Linked DNA regions of Drosophila melanogaster. The protein of the gene in region 2 interacts with the protein of the main gene of each other region in a pairwise test. Each region holds a gene or a part of one and is shown on either strand. Other genes may lie near its edges.

Region 1 (8,395 bases), on a different chromosome or scaffold from region 2:
GCAGTTTAAACTAAGCAGTATTCTCTCTAACGGAAATTTAAAACTTAAGTCAAATTGTATTCAATTATCTACTTTTATTAACTCAAATTAGTGCAAACGAGAAATTGAATTCTGTCGAAAAGAAGAGCTTTTCGGTTGTACATTTGTTTGAGTGTGTATTTTAAATGCAATTGCAATCTCTTGCATAGTAAAAGACAAAAATATTTACAAAAAGAGTGAGTTCATATCAAATATAGAATCCAATTCCACTGAGATCTCTGCAAACTGTGCCACATGTACTCAGGCGGTCTTGAAGTACTCATTATAGCACTTGTAGTAGTTCTGTATGTAGGCAGGCGGGCCATATATCTTAAAATCTCCCTTGATTAGGTCACTGACGAGGAAGCTCAGGTTCGGGCACAGCCGTGTCAGGTTTTCGGGGTTAAAGCCCATGGAACCCAAGGTGGTTAGGTGAATGAGCTTCAGCGATGGCAATCTGTTGAGTAGTTGCGGCTGCAGATAGGAATCACCCGTCTGATTGTCAATGTGGAGTAGAGCGAGTGCCTTTAGCTTATCTGCCGATTGCAAGAGCTGTGCTATCTGGTAGTCTCGCACATCGCAGTGACGCATGTCCAGAAATAGCAGCGATGGAACCACCTGGCCCACAGTGCCCACTATCTCCGCCGACCACTTGGCATGGTCCAACTTCAGAGCCCGAATCCTGCGGCTCTCGGCGGCCCCTTGGCACAGTGGCCTCAGGTACCGGAGTACGTCCTGGTCCTTGGTGGAGTAGCCCACGTTGATGTGCAGGCTGTTCAGTTGGCCACCCAACTTAATGAGCAAATCTTCGTGGAGAGCAGGCGGCTCTCTCATGCTGAACCTCAAGTCCCTGAATCGATGCAGCTGTCTCTCGATGGCGCCTCCAAAACAGGGAATTTCATTGTAGAGCGGCGCTAGGTCCTCCAAACTCAAATAACCAAATATAATATCCAAACAATCGTCGTTCAGTTGCAGTAAGTCCATTTTGCACTAAAAAAAAAACCGCAACCTTTAATGAATAGTAGTAATCACATTTATTTGTGCAGGCACTAGCCTTAAACATCAGATTTAGTTAGCTTCTAGGGTAATAATATTATTGGTTGTCAACATAATGGGATTGTAATAAAGATAAAGAACAAAGATGGCAAAGTAAATGTTGAATGTTTTCTCTTCAAATTAATGTTTATTCAACAATCTCATTCGGTAAAATCCTTCAATGGTTTCAGTTAACTCATGTCCTATTTCGGTGACCCAATCTTTGACTTATATCTAATTTGTAAGCTTGGCAAGAACAGTTTTCATTATAACTACATATATCAAAGTGTTTTGTTGGCTACGCTTTTGTTTCTACGCTTATATGGGCGTCAGCTCGGCCAGAGTTTCCGCGATGGAGCTATCCCGGAATCTTCCGATCCTCAGGGCGTACGATATGGCGTGCGCCACATAGCTCTGCTCGTGGACGCCGTGGAACAAGTAGGACATGGCACCATCCGCGTGAATCGTTACATCCGAGCCACCGTGCAGATTCTCGTCCGTGTTGATTGCTGCCTGCTGGGTGTACTCCCAGGCGGTAATATCGTCAGCAGTTGGATCCTTGCGGCTCTGCGTTTGCGGATCCACCTGGAATCCCTGATAGCTGGTGCCATAGGTTAACGTGGTGTACGGCGTCCCTTCTGTCTTCGAGTTTCCCGCCAAGCCGAGTATACTGGATCCCCGATCGGGATGCCCATTGATGGTCAGGCTGTGCGAGTGATCGGCGGTCACAATGACCAAGGTTTCGTCCAGGCGATCCGATGACTTGAGGAAGGAAAGTGTAGACTCAACGGCTGCGTTCAGTTCGAGCACCTCACTTAGCGCCTTTCGAGCGTTTCCCCTGTGATGGGCTTGGTCGATTAGACCGGCTTCCACCACGAGCAGAAACCCCTTATCACTGTTTCCCAGGACCTCCAGCGCCTTGAGGGTCATATTGGACAGCGAGGGCATGCCGGCGTCACTGCGATCTCGTTCGTGGTCGTACATTAGGTGTCCATTGGCGAAAATACCAAGTACGTAGTCAACATCCTGACCATTGAGATTCCACAGCTCACGATTGTTTTGCACAACCGCATGTGACACTCCCTCATCCGCTTTCTTTAGCCTCCAATCTCGGATGAGATCTCGTCCATCCTTCGACTGGCCGGCCCAAGTGTCCAGGGGATCGGCTGCTGAACCGGTTACATCTGAGACCAGCATCTGACGACCACCGCCCATGATTACGTTTATGCTCTGACCCGTCGGCTGTTCGATCAGCTGGCGAGCTATGTCCATACATCCCTGACCCTGAGCCTCGGCTGGCATTCCGCTCTCACACTCCCATCGACGATCCGGCACGTGGGCGTAGAGGGCAGCCGGAGTGGCATGCGTCACCCGGGTGGTGGTCACGAAACCCGTTCGCATTCCATCCACCTGGGCCCACTTGAGGATCGTCTGAACGTGGTGGTCCTCCTTCAGGGATGCGCTGCAGTTCCCCAGCGGTACATTTGCATCAACTCCTCCCGTTTCGTAGTTTACCTTTACTCCGCCAAAGAGAGCTGTGGCCGTGGAGAACGAGTCCGGTACTTGCTTGTCGGCACAGTAGGTCTTCAGCAGTCCCATGTCCGGAAACTGCTCCCAACGCAGGAGTCCCTCCTCCTTGACTCCGAGTATCCGTGCGGCCGTCACCGTGTTCGGACCCATTCCATCGCCCACGAACAGGATTACGTTCTTGGCTCGCCGGCGATTGAACTGCCTGGAAACGGCCTTCTGAAGCTCATCGATTCCCTGATCGTACCACTCCTTTTGCTCCTTGGGCAGATCTACGGGCCAGTAGCTCACCGTCTCCATGTCGCCCACATCGCCGGACATGCCGTAGTGCACAACGAAGCCAATGCACATGGCGGTTATCAGGAGGGCCGAGAAAACCACGGATATGAGGAAGAGCCTGGATCTGAACCATTTCGTGTGCTGCACGGGATTGCTCTGGTCATTGCCCTGAAAGCTACCTATTTCCACCGTCTCCTTGGCACTGGAGTCATCCAAATTGTTCAGCTGCACTTCCGTCATGTCCACATCGCTGAGTTTTCGAAACTTTTGGCTATTTATCGGCGTTCCACTTCGCTTTTCCATTTCTCATTAACGTCTGGATCGGCCTAATCTCTACACAGACTGAAAATGTGAGATATATTGCAGATTGTTAACTAATCATTGTTTACCACAGATAAAAGACACTTTATAGACAGAGAGAAGTGAGTACCTTTGATATGCGATATTTTCGGTTGATTTTAAAGTGGTATAAACGTTATATATTTATCATCTTAGATGATAAAGCCAATATATTATTATATATAAAGTTTAAATTCTGAGTGTAACAGTACTAATGCAAATAGTTATTAAACCCTTTACACATGTAATAATTTCTCATCCCCAATATTTTAACATAGAAACACTGTAGCGTTGAAATTATTCTGTTCTTTTCGTACTTTTTCATGGGAACAGCTGTGAGTGAATGTTTATATTTCACAGAACACAAGGTAATATGATTTGTATACGATTTGAATGCCGCTCACTGACGAGAATTCCAGTTGGAACACCTACCAACTTTCCAACAGTTAGTTTTAAACCGTTGGTTGGTATTATCGACAGCGGTAAGTTGATAAGTATTTTAGTTAAGTTTACCACTTGATTTCTTCCTCGGTCGGTGCGATAGTTCCAACTGCTATCGATAGCTAATCAGCTGTTCGCTCTCTCCAGTTGAGCGAGCGTGCGCTTGTGCTTGTGTGTGTTCCTGCGTTCGTGTACGTGATTCAATGTTTTTTTTTTTGTATTGTTTATGACCGCCGCCGCTCCAAAATTAAAGTGATTCATATATAAAACTCGTCTCCAACTCGCGGCGAAATCCACCGATACTCGCCATTCGGTCGCTGGCAACAGCTTAAAATTAGTCTCCGGCCAACTCCGCGCTTTTCAGTTGCGGGTGAACAGGAAAATAAAGTGTTTGCGTGGACTTGTCGCTCTTCGCTTTCAATCAGCATCAATTAAAAAACGCGTGTGCTTGTGCCAAATAAATCCAGAAAACTGAGCATTCCAATTGGACAAGAGCGGAAAACTACACGCACACTAACGCACACAGGGCGGAAAAACAACAACACCATCGCCATGGACGATTTGGGTAAGTAAGTGGTGGTCCACTTTTCCTCGGGGAAAAGCGACTTCCTCAAGCGGAGCATTCCACAGCATAAACCGTGTGACGTAGGCAAAAGCCGCAAAGATAATTCTGCGACTTCAAGGTCAGTCGCTAATTGGAGTTAATTAACATGTAGCTGAGGATTCTGCCGTTGGCCGCCAGGTGGCGACACAGGAAGTCGAAAATCTCACGCTTGAATAATTTTCGTTTACAGTGAAGAGTGGCTAAAACGTACCTCACGTGTTGAATGGCAACGTGTGTTCTGTGTATCTTTTTAGTTATTAATCTGTTATTCACTTCTGTTTTAAGAAATTGTTATTATGTAAAAAAGTTTTGAGTGATCTTCAGTCATTGACCGAACAAGATGTGTTATTTGTTTAATATATTTCCCAATATACAAAAATATTTATTATTGAATATTTCTTGAAACTCAATATTTACTGTTTTTCGAAATTCTTATCGTAAGCATACAATCATTAATCACGATTAAAAATGGTTGTGTTACGTGCTTTAAAATTCTTGATGATGAATTTCAAGTGCTCGTCTTATCTTTGAACCCGTTCATATGTACATGGGTCCATACATACATATGTACATACATACATACTTATGTACATACATACATATGTGCAAAGTGCACAAGTAAATGAATGAGCTTTTAATTCGGGAAGTGGCTATTGCGATAGCTGTGGTCCGATTCGCGCATTCCTTGCACTTTTATGAATAATCCTAATTCCTTGAATCGAACATAAAAGCATCGCGCTCAGCACTTCCAGTGTGAAATCATTTACAATTCTAGAAAGCAAGGAGGGTGTGGTTTCTTGCAGCCCCAAGTTCGAAACCCTTGTACTCATGTGAATGATCTGGTCTGAGAGAGGCAGCTTAATCAGCCGGGCTGTATTTGCTTTCTTCGCTGCCCCACAGTGCTCTTTTAGTCTCCATCAGCGAAATAAAAGTCTACATGTCGTCTCACTTTATTTTCTTTATGACACAATTCTTCGCTGTTTCGGAATGTCTTTTGATAAAAATATAAAAGTGAAGCAAAACGAAATCTGCAGCCGAGAGTTGTGTGTCCAGAAATTCTTAAGAAATGACTAAAGGCCAGGCCACTAACACTTATGAAGAATTCCAGCTGACTTGCCCTACACCTACGCACAGTGGTCTAAGAGCCCGCTAAAATTTGCTTATCGGCTGGGCTTGTAGGATTCTAGATCTTAAGAAACTTTCATATAGAGCTTTTGCAAAATCATGTTAAATAACAAATAATATTTCAGATCACTTTTTAGATTACAATAATATAATAATAACTATAATACTGAAATTCGTTCGAGATCTTAAAATCTCAGCATAAATATTCTGCCCTCGAAGCTTTACTTCGCACAGGAAGTAGAGGCTTCAGCTTCATCTCCAACTTCATCTTGATCTTCTCCAGCAACTCAGTTGCATCAATCTTGCTTTGCTGCCATTAGTGAGTGCGCGCCCACTTCATCGCCCACTCGACACGCAATGTCTTCTGTTCGTGTTGCGTGTGCGCACTGTAACAGCAAAGACGAGATGATCTGTCGAGATCGGTTAGGTCTGTCTGGGCATTGAGCGTCGATGGCGTTTTCCGCCGAGGGGAGCACTCCAACTGCAGAGCAATGATCGCTTATGGTTACGGGGAAAGGTTCGCACAGTGGGACGAAAGGTTAAAGAGTTTTTGAGATCCCATTTCTGCCTTTTCTGTGATCGTATCAATGTATATCACAGTGTTCATGGTCATGAAAGTATATAATTAGTTATCTTCTATGTTTGTCGATAAACAATTGTAAAGCCTAAGCAGCTGTTAAGTGATAAGCATTTCCAACATGACTGTCCCAGAGGAATTTTGTTTATACCAATTTTCACTGTCATTTTATGAAACATTTAATCTTGCGGATTGTCTGTACAATTGAAGATAGTTTCAGAAATGTTTTGATATTGGATGCCTTTGACTCACGTTTTCGTTTATTCGTCAGCAACGAAGGGGTTGGTTTTCTTGGCAGCTGGCCCACTGTTCACACACCCAAAGGAAAGCTCCAATCGGGCGACAATATTTTCGTCCGCTCTGGTTTCCTTTCGCTGTGCCTCCCACTTGCGGTCGAAATGCTCAGCCGCAGGCCGCAAGCCAAAATGAAAAGCCACTCCAAGTGAAAAGCTACGTGGTGGGGCTCTTTCTCTCTTTTAACTGGCTCTCTTGGCACTGAAAATAAAATACGACAATATGGACTCTGATTTAAAATACATTTTTTTTAAATTCGATTTTTCAAAATTAGTTTACTACTTGTTTACTAGTTTATTAGTTGTTTACTCAGAAACAACAATAATCATAATACTGGTTTCACAAGCTGTAACCGCTGATACATACTTTTTAAACATTCCTTTAGATATATATTACTTTAGATATAGCCCCTATTACGAAGCTAAGCTATCGTTTTGAATATACTATGCCTATCCATACATCCATACATCTATAAATCTAAGAAGATTTTTTCGCAGTGCAGTTTGTTTACCAGCTCTCAAACGCTTCGCTCTCTTGCTCCCCCGCTCTCCGTGAGCAGCTGCGAGAGAGCCGGAGCGCTCGTCTATTGGAGCCTCAGCATCGGGCCCCCCTTTGGATTTCAGTCGATTGCGACGCTTTTACTGAATCGCGAGCGCAGCGCGTGTGTTTTTCGGAGTCTCTCGATTGCGGTCTCCCAACGGCGTCCTACGATCTCTGGGATTAATATATAGAATATGTGACAACACACTGCCAAAGGTGCAGGCAAAAGTGCACAGATAACGCGATAGAATATACATATAAGAAACCAAGCCTAATCAAAACAAAAGGCAACGAAAAAGTGTTTAACGGCAAACTACGGCGGGAAAAAGTTGATGAAAATCAGTGGAATCGTGTTAGTGGCAGGTTGGAGCGTGGGAAATTGTTTACTTCGAGTGCAAGAACAGTTTGCAGTAAAAAAAAAAGTTGACAAACATCAAAAGATATCTAGCACTAAGATAAACGATAAAGCAGGAATGCCAGAAGCAGTTAGCTAAAAAAAATAATATAATATAATAAACTGGCCAAGATTTATGGATCCGTGTCACTCGCCTTAAGATTCCACTAACTCTTGGCAAATCTTTTCGGCGCGTTGCTCGCAAAACATTTCAATTTCATTAGCATTTCCACTAATTATGGAACTAATTATCAACGGACAAGACATTCGAATATATGACATATTTGCCCAGATCTGGCAGAGCATAGAATTTTGGTTAGCCCCATTAATTTTCGCCTCGGGGCCCCGAACGGATTAAGATCGTGGGTGTGTTGAGATGGAAATTAATTCGGTATTTCTGTGTTTTTCTGGAGGGAAATGACCGAAATAGCCAAACAAACATAACAACAGGCAGCAAAAGCAATTAAATTGTGCCCACTTAATCTATTAAAATTATGACATTTTTCACATATTTCAAGCAATCGAAGCCAAGTGCATTCTCACGAGTGGTGGTGGTAGTGCGATGGGGGGGGGGGGGACTTCCTTCCCCTTCCCCTCGTAAAAGTATCTCGAGTTACGACAGCAGATGGAAATGCTGGAGAATGATGTAAACTCGGCTGACATAGTGCGCACAAATGAATATTTTGTTGTTGGGGGGTTCTGCACTTACGAGAATCGCTTTCGTTTTCTCCCCAATATTTTGTATCTCGCAGATACGTTCAGTGGATGCCATTTGTTTACGACCAGACAGCTGCTGTCTTTGTCTCTCCGATTGTCTGTGCGTTTTGAAACCTCTAACTAAGTATCTACAGATCACTCTGGATCTCTGGATTATTTGGGTTTAAAAGCTCGTTTTAAGCCCCAACTACTTAGCACCTCTGGATTCTCCATCATCGTAATTCATAGTGCAGTGAGTTCATCGCCAGGTTTGAGTTCGATTTTCGTTTGCTCAGCGAGTTGCTCTGTGTTTTGTTGTTGTTGTTCCTTGTTTCTGTTCTTTCAACTGGAAACAAGATTCTTATCGCCCAGCCATACAAATTCAATTAGAGTGTGTTGTTTCGATTGCTAGCGAAAGATGAGTGGCTTCGATAGATTTCGAAATCGTTAATTGTTAGCAGCGAGTTGATGTGCAATTAAAACATTGGGTTAGATTCATTGCTCACAAATATTTTGAAATAAATAA
Region 2 (4,782 bases):
TGGGTGGCATGTGGCTGGCTGTGGGCCACCTGGTGGTGCTGCTGGTTCGTCTGGTGGTGTGCAGATGGAGGTGCGGATGGCGGAGGGCCATGGCTCTTGTGGGACATGGACGACAACAGAGCCGCAGCCGTCGATGTCGACGTGGAATTGGTGGCTAGTGAAGACGTTACGCTGGTGGTGCTACTGGCCGAAGCGGTGGGGCCACCGCTTGTGCTGCTGGAGCTGCTGCTGTTTGTAAATCTGCTGCCAGTTTCACCGCGCCGCGTGTGGTTAGAGCCGACGACCATTCTGCACGACAGTCTGCAAGGATGAACAGCATTACAAGTATATTCAAAACGATGTGCACACTTTTTCACTCAAATACTAATACGATCTTAGATATACCAATTCCACCAAACCCAATCAACCCGGCAATTGTCAGCTGTTTTGGAATTTGAATCACTGACAGGTATAAGCTCTTTTATTACATCTGGCAACGCCGCTGTTGTCTGCGAACACGACAAAGAGCGAGATGGACATAAGCTTTCAGGACAAGACTAGGACAAAGGCAAACGTCCTGCACCCATACATACACACTCTCTCACAGGATTGGATGACTTGCAATAATCCTCAATCCGCAAACCATATGTTCCGGCATTTTGCCAATATATTCGCTCCGTTGAAAATGGCCCTAATTTAGTTTTTATTCCTACGGCTTCGCGTTTGAAAGAGAGAGAGAGAGACCGAGAAAGAGGGGGCTTGTAACTGATGTCGTCGACAGCCATCCCTCTCGCTCGCACTTATTCCAAGCCCTTTTAGCCCATGCACACACACGTTTAACAAAAATCAATTAACTTGAAAGCACATGTAAAAAAAAGTATTGATCCACAAAAAACAAAAGGCACTTCGGTAATCCTGGAATACACACACTTACTGCCGAAAATATTTAAAATGAATGGGTACGCGTATATATTTATATGCTGGTGAACAAAAGGCGAGCATAACAAAAATGTCTTATCGATTTGCATGCGCAGCAGACAGTAATTGCAAATCTTGTATTTTCTTGAGTCTGTGCAACAACTGAAATACCTTTCTGGGCATAAACTATCATAAACACAAGTGGGTGGTGCTGGGAAACATCGCTGGAATTGAATATTTGTTTGTTGGTCGATTTGTTCTGAATGGAAACGAATGTCGTTTGCAAATTGCTCTCTCAGCTGTTTACAAACGCATACCACATAACGCAGGTGAGAGAGAGAGGGAGGCATATGCGCAGTGAGAATGGAAGATGAAGGGTTGCCAAGTGCGCAAAGGCTTGCAAATTAAGTACACTTGTGTGCGGGGTAACCGAAAAACGGGTGTTTACAATAAATTTCGCTGGGTGGATGTAGCTTTGTAATTTGAGTTCGCCAATTTTTTTTGTTGTTAACAGCATTTCGAAGCGGTTGCCAACCCTAGACGCTGGCTGGTTGCATGGTAACGAAAAATGGCGGCGCCTGTTACACACACTCACACACACATGCACGCACAGTCTGCTGTGTTTATGCACTTCATGCTGTTCCGATTTTTTTTTTGCACTTTTTCGATTTGTTGTCTGCATTTACCTTAAATGAATTTATTAACTAAGGCGATATTGTGCCTCTCGCTCAATCTCGCAAAACGATGCTTTGTCTGCTGCTTCTCTGTGCGTGTGTCCGTCTCTTTCCACGGCTTTTCGTCGAGACTCACATATACAAACGGCGACACACTGGATTGGAGCTGGACTCCGTTTTGGATGGCTTGGCTTTGGCTGCGTACCCAAAATAAATCGCGCTTGCAGTCCCAAATCATTTTAGTTCTTGACGCCTTTGTTCCACAAAAACTTCCAACCGCCGTCCATGGCTCGTGCTTTCTCTTTCGCTCGCGAGACGCTCCAAAAGTCGCGAGTATGGGAAGAGAATGTATCCCTCGCTCTTTCACGCCTAGAAGCGGCTGTAGCACACACAAGCACACGTAAACCCAGCCGTATGCATATACATATATTCCCTCTACTAGCGAGACGTGTGTACGTGCGTATGTATGTATGCTTTTTTCACTTCTTTCTCCTCTGCGTTCTTTGCACCAAGTGTCGCTGTTGCTATTTGCTACCGCCGCTCCTCTTGACGAATAAGTCGGGACTTGTATCAGCTCTAATTCGGACTTAGTTTACAAAATGCGGCTGCTTTTTTTCCGCGATACTCGGATTAGTGATGTAAAAAGACGTTGATGCTTCGACCACTGAAGTCAGTGCGATATGTATCGATAATTGAATGCCATCGATTGCTACGATTAAAACTGCCACCGCAGTTAGCGGAGACGCTCACCATTCTCTATTCGCCATTTGAAAGTATCGGTGTAATTTGTTTTCAGAGAAATTAATTTCCGTTTACTGTGCAATTCGGTGTGAAAGTGTTCAGATTTATCAATGCGTATTCTGCTTTCGACTTCGCCACCAATCTGTGCTGCAAGTTACCATTACCAGGTCCACCTGGTTCCCGCCAGTTTTCTTTCATTGTGGCTAGTTGTTGTTCGTGCCTTCGATAAAGACGTTTAGAGGTGTTTTTAGAGTTTCGCCATCTGGTCACTATAGCCGTTTCGTTTTTTACGTGAGTATTGTGAATTTGGTGTGTTGATTTATATCTCAGTTGGAGCCTGCGTGGAAATAGTGTCAGTACGTTTAAAGGCATCATCGTAAGGTTAGTCGGAAAACAAATAAAAAGCCTACAAATAGCAAGCAAGAACGCTTTCGCAACCACAAGAAAAACGAACATACGCACGCATCCATCTGTGGTAGAGTCGGCTTGTGTGGGGGTGAGTGGATGTGTGGGTGAGCATTTCTGGAAAGTGCCGTTCTCTATGTTTCGATTCTACTTATCCCTTCATCACCATTTCATCGTTGAATCATCACGAAAGAAACATCGAAAGTGCACAATCGTTTGTTATCTTTGTACGAAAACAACGGTGATTTCCACACAGGCATAACCTGCAAGAGTAATACGATACAAATTTTGATCTGATATGACCTCATTTTAGTCGGTTTGAATTTTAAAGAGAGCGACTCTGCAAACTGCAGGGATATGAACATACAAAATTCACAAATGATTGTTTGCATCCTAGTTGCTTATATTCATTTACACGCATGCTTATATGCTTACATCTGTTATCAATAATTGACGACTTGGTGCATGCGAAGCAAACGCATTGAAATGACTATTGGGATCCACACACTGTTAAAAAACACACTGATTGCACTGCCACACATTTCTCAACTAGAACCTAATGTTTTATACTGAACTTAACTGCAGGAAAGCCCAAAATGCCCAGCATCAAGTTGCAATCTTCGGATGAGGAGATCTTTGACACGGATATCCAGATCGCCAAGTGCTCCGGCACTATCAAGACCATGCTGGAGGACTGCGGCATGGAGGACGATGAGAATGCCATTGTGCCGTTGCCCAATGTGAATTCGACGATTCTTCGCAAGGTGCTTACCTGGGCTCACTACCACAAGGACGACCCCCAGCCAACGGAGGATGATGAGAGCAAGGAGAAGCGCACAGACGACATTATCTCATGGGATGCAGATTTCCTAAAAGTCGACCAGGGCACACTGTTTGAGCTGATATTGGCAGCGAACTATCTGGACATTAAGGGCCTTCTGGAGCTCACCTGCAAGACTGTTGCAAACATGATTAAGGGAAAGACTCCCGAGGAAATACGCAAGACCTTCAACATTAAGAAGGACTTTTCGCCCGCCGAGGAGGAGCAGGTGCGCAAGGAGAACGAGTGGTGCGAGGAGAAGTAAAGCGCGGCATTTCGCGGGACCAACATTAAGTTGAAACAGCTAGGGGATTCGGGAACGAATTGGATTTGCAGCATTGCAACTTTACTTAGTTGCTACTTTCATTTACATTTTTTTTTATTTTTAACCCCAGCAGAGACTCGATTTAAATTGTGTATAAATGATCTGTTGCTGATTTGATTCGCGGGGTTCATTTTTTGTCGTAAATATATCTCATATACATACATATGCGAGATTGTAACACTCTCTTTAACCTATTGGAGTAACACTTGATTTCACTTTAATAAATATAACTACCCAACACAAAGACACAGCCTATTTTGTGGGCTTCCCGGAGGGGTTAGGGTCCAAGGACTTCTCAAATTAAGAAGTGCTCTTTATTCGTTATCTTGTGTTTAGAAACGTTTGCAAGCGTTTGAAATGGATACGCATGCCATTTATGGTCCAGTCGGTAAAATTTTACGTGTTCCCAAGAAGGTACATATATATCTTAGATTATCTTATCTATAGAAACTACATTCATAAGATCACGCTTTCGGCGAATAGCGAGTAATACTGTAGCTGCCACTTTGCCACTTAGTGTGCAATTGAAATGCGCGCCAACGCATGTTCTCATATGCGGAGCGTTTAGCAGCCCTTAAAAAGCTTTTCATGTTGCTTTTAAAAAGCTACGACGGGTGTGGAAATTAGATTTGTGACGCTTTATATATCTTTTTTTTATATCGTCTGGGGTACAGCATGGTTTTAGGATTTTAGAAGAAAGCAGTAATTTTGTAAGAATCGAAGAACGGGGGGATATTTATAATTTTCATATTAACCTTGTCTTTGTTTGCTTTTGAAATTATGAATACTTCGAAAGATAATTATCTTGTGCGCATTCCATTCTGGCTTAGACTGGGTTGAGCTAAAAATGATTTGAAATACAAATTTTTAGGTGTCCGCTGATATATAAACAGTATGATGTTTTTGCACTTTTTTCCCTG
Region 3 (5,584 bases), on a different chromosome or scaffold from region 2:
GCACAAGTACTTGAGCCACTGAGATTACTAGGTGTCGCTGCTCGTACGTTTGCCAAGCAACTTCGTAGAGGTTCATTTGGGAATCCTTCTCGCCTTCCTTAGTACAGCATTATGGCGGTCTTGTTTTTATCGTCACATGGCGCCTCCAGGCATTGGCGGTTGCGGAGGCCGAGTCGCTGGGCGTACAACAGGATGGCGATATTCAGCAGCACAACGACGGTGGATACCACGACCAGGTAAAAGCTGTAACCAAGATAAGCCAGTCCATTGCTGTACCAGTGCTGCTGCTGCTGCTCAGTTAAAAGAACGTTGTGTATGAAATATTGGTAGAACTGCACGAGCCAAGCTACAAACGCCACTATTTGCGCCCCCGCGGCGCATATGTTGGAAGTCAGGAGCAGCATCATTGTGCCTCCTTTTTTGGCCGCAGAGGCTGACTTTAGGACAGCGGCGATGGCAGCCACAGCGCAGGCCAGCAGTGCGAAACCGGTGCCCAAGGTAGTAAGTAGCCAGAGCCAGAAGCTAGTGTCGTCATTTTCTGTCCGAACAAAGGTATACACTGAAAATACGGTGTGAAATAACAAAAGTTAAACAGGATTGCTTTAAAAATTTTATATTTTATTTGCATCTCCAAAAGCTGTTAAGCTTCCACGACGTTTTTATTCTATGTTGCATATTTGTGGCTCGCAATATAATACCCTTGCAATTTTAAAAATTGTAAACCCCAAATTTCAACCATATTATATAAAAGCAAGTAAAATATGGTTCCCTATGTCCTCGCTTCTATTATATTTTTTGCGCCAAAAATTTCAATATTTTTCAATTTTGTTAAATAGAATGTAACTTCCCTTTAGCCCTAAAGTTTGTTGTGTCACTTGATTATTAATAAGAAAAACAAAAACAATTTTGGTTTTTACAATTTAATTTTTAAGCATATCCTTAGGATCTGCAAGATAAATAAATGTAATCGAAAAGTATACATAATGGTTAATTTTTGGATATGTCTGCACTGATCATGAGTATTATTCGGGTATTTAATTTTATCAACTCGCCCGATTATGTTTGTGATCTTCACAACTAAACAAATTTAAAAGTAAATCTATTTTTAACAACAGTCTTATCCAGGACAATATCGGTTTTCAACTAATACATGCCCCAATAATCAGCACATTTTCCTAATCGTATATTCATTCAGAAAGCGTCCCAAGAAGTTTAAAGAGGCTAATTCACGATGCAGGTAATGAGAAGATCACTCTCTATCTAGTTTTCCCTGCTATCTAGGCTACTTTGATTGCTCACCATCAACCGAATTTGTGCGGACTCCGAATCCGGGATTCAGGTGGTAGTTGCCGAAGAAGAGTCCGAAGTTGAATTCACCCTTGGCGTCCGACGAGTTCTTGCGGCGTGGAGTGGCCCGCACCCAGTGATTAGTGGTCATGCTGACGAGCAAGAGGCCAATAGCCAGGCAGCTGCCAAAGAAGGTGGAGAACACTAACGCCCGTGTGTGCAAGCTCATCTTGATAATGCTCATGGAAGACCGGTGGCATATGTAGAAGGCTATGCTGTTTTCACCATTAAGAAATGTCTAGGGCCCGACTCCAGCTGCAGCGAAGAAAGTTAGTAGGAAACGTTAGTAAGCGGAGGACGCAATGCCAGTGGCCTTGCAGCGTATTGCTTACCCTTTTATGACTATGTCGGCGGGATCAATTGCAAATATAGTCTTTGTTCGCGGAACAAAAGATTGTTGCACAGGTAAACAATTAATATAAACTGTCTTGCCCTTGTTTTTTTCTCAGAAGAGAAGACTGAGCGGATATTTTTTCTCAAAGAGTACGGTAGCATTAATTTGGGATTTGGTCTGGCAACCACGGCCCGTCTAGTATATTCGATAACGATACAATTCTCATACCAAAATGGCTCGACAACCCTGGTTCCATGCAAAAATAGCGCGAAGTTTTTGTGTTTACGGCGGTGAAAAAATAGATTTCGTGTAAATATGAGCAGTCGCAAGCACAGAGGCTCCGAAAACATGGAAAATTTGTGCCCGGTGACCAGGTGAGTTTTCCTTTGCTTGGGGTGTGGGTTCAAGCAGCAGACCACTGAACTGGTCGCGTGACGTCACACGCGCCACAAGTGTCCAAAAGAGGTCAAGAAAGTAACTTATTGAATTGCAGGGTTCTTGACCCTTTCTTTCATCAGCCATTCTGCTGATGAAGCACGATCGAACTGCACACTTTTAATAAATTTTCGACTATTGCAGAAAGCGCTCGACTAATAAGAACCACGTCTCTGTTGTGGGCGCTCTAGTTTCCACTACGAAGTCATCGCACTACGAGCACCCTTCCTCGCCCTCGGCACTAACTTTTGAGGCCCTAGAAGAGATGGGAATCGGAATGCTTGATTCCGAAGAAAGCAGCTCCTCAGCCCTCTCGGCCATCGCTTTGGCGGTTAGCGCCACCAGCGACGACAACTCAAATGAGACGACCCCGTGCGCCAGTGTGTCGCGCATGGCGCACCAGCTACAGCACACGCAACGGCTAAGTCTGGGCTCTACGGGGGACATCACACTGGATAGCCCAGCTGTGGAGGATTCACTGTCGATGTCCCGTCAATCGGCCGAGAAGCTGCAGATTCTGGCGCAGGCTAAGCGCTCGTCGTTGGGTTCTGAAGGTAGCGGCAATTCAAACTCGCCCAGCAAACGTTTGCGCAACCCCCTGGCTGCAGTCACCTGTAACAACCAGATTGATGGGACTGCTTCGCTCAATTTTCAGCCATCAACCAGCAGGTTGGCGCAAGTTCGCCAGGCAAAAAAGCCCTCGACAACAAATATTACAACCCGAATAGTGGCAGCGGACAGTTTCTTTGTGTTTCGCACCCCGGCCATGAGTGCCCACATCAACAGCGGCATAAACTACTTTGAAAGACTTTCAGACGAAATACTACTTGACATCTTTAAGTGGCTCCCGAAGAAGACGCTGCTGCGCATGGCTACCGTTTGTCGACGCTTTAACCGCTGCTCTCGCGATGAGACTTTGTGGACAAGGCTAGATTTGGGTTTGCGGACAATTAGACCAGGTGCCCTCGAGCAAATTGTACGGCGGGGAGTCCTTGTAATACGTCTGGCCCAGACTAGTGTAAGTTACATCTAACATTATGTTTTCGGGAAACAAGAGCATCTAATCTTTGAACTGTAGATCCAGGAGCCCGCATTTGCACCATATACAGAAGTGTTTAGGACCCGATTACAATATCTTGACCTGAGTATGGCTTCCATCACCCGAAGCTCACTGCTGACACTATTGTCCCACTGCCGCCAGCTAAAGAAAATAAGCTTAGAGAATATTGAGCTCGATGATGACATCTGTGCAGAGATCGCAAAGAATGAAGCTTTGGAGGCGGTCAATCTGACTATGGCTAGTGGCCTGACGTCCAACAGTGTTCGCCTGATGATGGAGTCACTTACCAGCCTAAGCAGCTTAAACATATCGTGGACTGACCTAAGTGCGGATGCTGTTACGGCGTTGGTTACCCACATTTCCCCCAACTTAATTCGGCTCAATATCGCTGGCTGCCGCCGCGTTTTGTTTGACTCGCGTAAGTAGTTCCCACCGTCTTCAATGATATATTTCCTTTTTGATTTGAATTTAATTTGTTTAGATGTTGCAACCCTGCAAAAACGGTGTCCTCAGTTGTTGGAGCTTGATCTATCTGATTGCAATAGTCTAACACCAACAGTCATTACTGCAATTATGAAGTTCAAGATGCTGGAATATTTGTCCGTCTCCCGATGCTATCTTATTCCAGCAACCAAATTTATGTAAGATTTTTCCAGCAAGCGTCTGATTAATCCCTACCCAGTCATTTTCCTTGCAGTGAACTTAAGAGTATGCCCTCGCTAACCTATTTAGACATATTTGGGATGCTGTCGGACACTGCAATGGAAGTCCTTGAGAAACAACTGCCAAAAATGGGTATAAACAAATTCATTCACAGTTCGGTATCCCGCCCGACTGTTGGCACGCGACGCACCTCCATTTGGGGTCTGCGCACGCGCGACTAAGTCTCGACTCTGCTGCTTCCGTTACCATTTGAATTTGTTTTGCTGCGTAAGCCACCCGTAACGCAGTTATTTTATTCTCAATTCAACAACATAAATAATCACATTTAGCTGTTCTTATTTTTGTGCGTTTGGTCACTGATCCGCTTCGCTAAGGGGCTCCACTGGTTTCTCCCATTCCCATTCCTCCCAGTTGACGCAGTTCTTGAGACTATCCATGAATCCTGTTTCGCTGGGGCACTTGATTTCAATGGCTGGTTTGTTAAGTGTCTCACACTTCCAATACGATGTGGCATCCCAATTGTTGCGGAAAACTACAATGTCTAGCTCGGCTTGGGTCTTGCAACCCGGCTGTCCGTCACCATCATAGGCGAGGGCAATGCCAAAAGAAATCACTAGTAGGGAGGTTAGAGCGAGCTGAACCTTCATCTTTCAAAAAATGTTCTATGGTCTACTGGAAGTACTCGAAGCCTTTTATAGTTACATAGTTGCAGCGGTATAGTATCCAAGTGCAGCTACTACCAGAAAATGCTTTTATAAATTGGCATTAATGTAAACACTCGAGAGAGGAAGGAAAAGATAACAGTACTTGCCCTTGACTCCAATCTGTTCAAACTAAAAAAGGTACAATGAGTCACCCAATTTTCCATTTAAAAATTCATTGTTTTTATACTATATTAAATATTTAAGAAAATAAACAAAAAATATGTCTTTTATCAAGGAAAGCATAATCAAGCCAATTCAAAACAAAATCATATAGGGAAACGACAAATATAAATATTTTCGATCTAGTTCGTAATCATAGGTTCAAGAACAAAGTTCGTATTGGACAGCCTGCCAAATTTAAAGATTCAGCAATATAAAAGTAACTAAAGCAAGAGAGAAGGCTATGGTCGAGTTCCTCGACTATCAGATACCCGTCACCCGTGGCAACATGGGTCAACTAACTTGCGCTGGGTATTTGTCTCTAGAATCTGTATGCTTAATCTCAACCTTCTAGCTTTTATAGTTCCTGAGATCTCGACTTTCATACGGACAGACGTACATGGCCAGATCGGCTATTGATCCTGGTCAAGAATATATGTACTTCATATGGTCGGGAACGCTTCCTTCTGCCTGTTTCAACGAATCTAGTATACTCTATTACTCTACGAGTAACGGGTAGAAATATAAAATTGAAACTATTTTGAGTCATCCCTCCAATTGGTAATTTTTTTATATATTAACGGAAATTTAAAGTGCGTTACAAAAGTAAAAATTCTTTTGGTGCTAGTATGCTTAACGGGGTGGACATTTCGGCGTTTTCCACACTTCTTGGGAAATCACTTTAGACAAATTTGTACCAATGTCGGTACTTAATAGTATTTAACTATAACTTACCTTTTGCCTTTGGTGTGAATAGGCTATTAAGCCAAAGAGTAAACATTCGTCGATTGTAACTCCCTTGTCATCGATGTTGGCCAATACGTGACAACATCGATAGTATCGATAACTATCAGGTTCAGGTTCGCCTGTATTGCACTATTT

What was found.
Region 1: the proteins of SkpA (region 2) and CG13085 interact in a two-hybrid assay, tested with the Drosophila melanogaster proteins (2 studies listed by BioGRID).
Region 3: the proteins of SkpA (region 2) and Skp2 interact in a two-hybrid assay, tested with the Drosophila melanogaster proteins (2 studies listed by BioGRID).

Annotation. Positions count from the first base shown.
Region 1 is NT_033779.5:19,422,015-19,430,409, reverse strand, and holds CG13085 (uncharacterized protein), read right to left. Parts: upstream 6,361-8,395; 5' UTR 6,198-6,360; intron 6,142-6,197; exon of another isoform or gene 5,601-6,141; intron 4,205-5,600; coding exon of another isoform or gene 4,192-4,204; exon of another isoform or gene 3,516-4,191; intron 3,324-3,515; exon of another isoform or gene 3,290-3,323; intron 3,202-3,289; exon of another isoform or gene 3,163-3,201; coding exon of another isoform or gene 1,372-3,162; exon of another isoform or gene 1,186-1,371; intron 1,009-1,185; 5' UTR 1,003-1,008; coding exon 280-1,002; 3' UTR 140-279; downstream 1-139. Other genes in the region: Alp12 (alkaline phosphatase 12), read right to left, coding at 1,372-3,162.
Region 2 is NC_004354.4:653,797-658,578, forward strand, and holds SkpA (SKP1-related A), read left to right. Parts: upstream 1-2,317; 5' UTR 2,318-2,988; exon of another isoform or gene 2,989-3,302; 5' UTR 3,303-3,313; coding exon 3,314-3,802; 3' UTR 3,803-4,103; downstream 4,104-4,782. Other genes in the region: Hmt4-20 (histone methyltransferase 4-20), read right to left, coding at 1-287.
Region 3 is NT_033777.3:4,334,019-4,339,602, reverse strand, and holds Skp2 (S-phase kinase-associated protein 2), read left to right. Parts: upstream 1-1,928; 5' UTR 1,929-1,996; coding exon 1,997-2,055; intron 2,056-2,260; coding exon 2,261-3,134; intron 3,135-3,194; coding exon 3,195-3,594; intron 3,595-3,657; coding exon 3,658-3,817; intron 3,818-3,873; coding exon 3,874-4,060; 3' UTR 4,061-4,192; coding exon of another isoform or gene 4,193-4,486; 3' UTR 4,487-4,724; downstream 4,725-5,584. Other genes in the region: CG1103 (uncharacterized protein), read right to left, coding at 99-559, 1,300-1,531; CG14645 (uncharacterized protein), read right to left, coding at 4,193-4,486.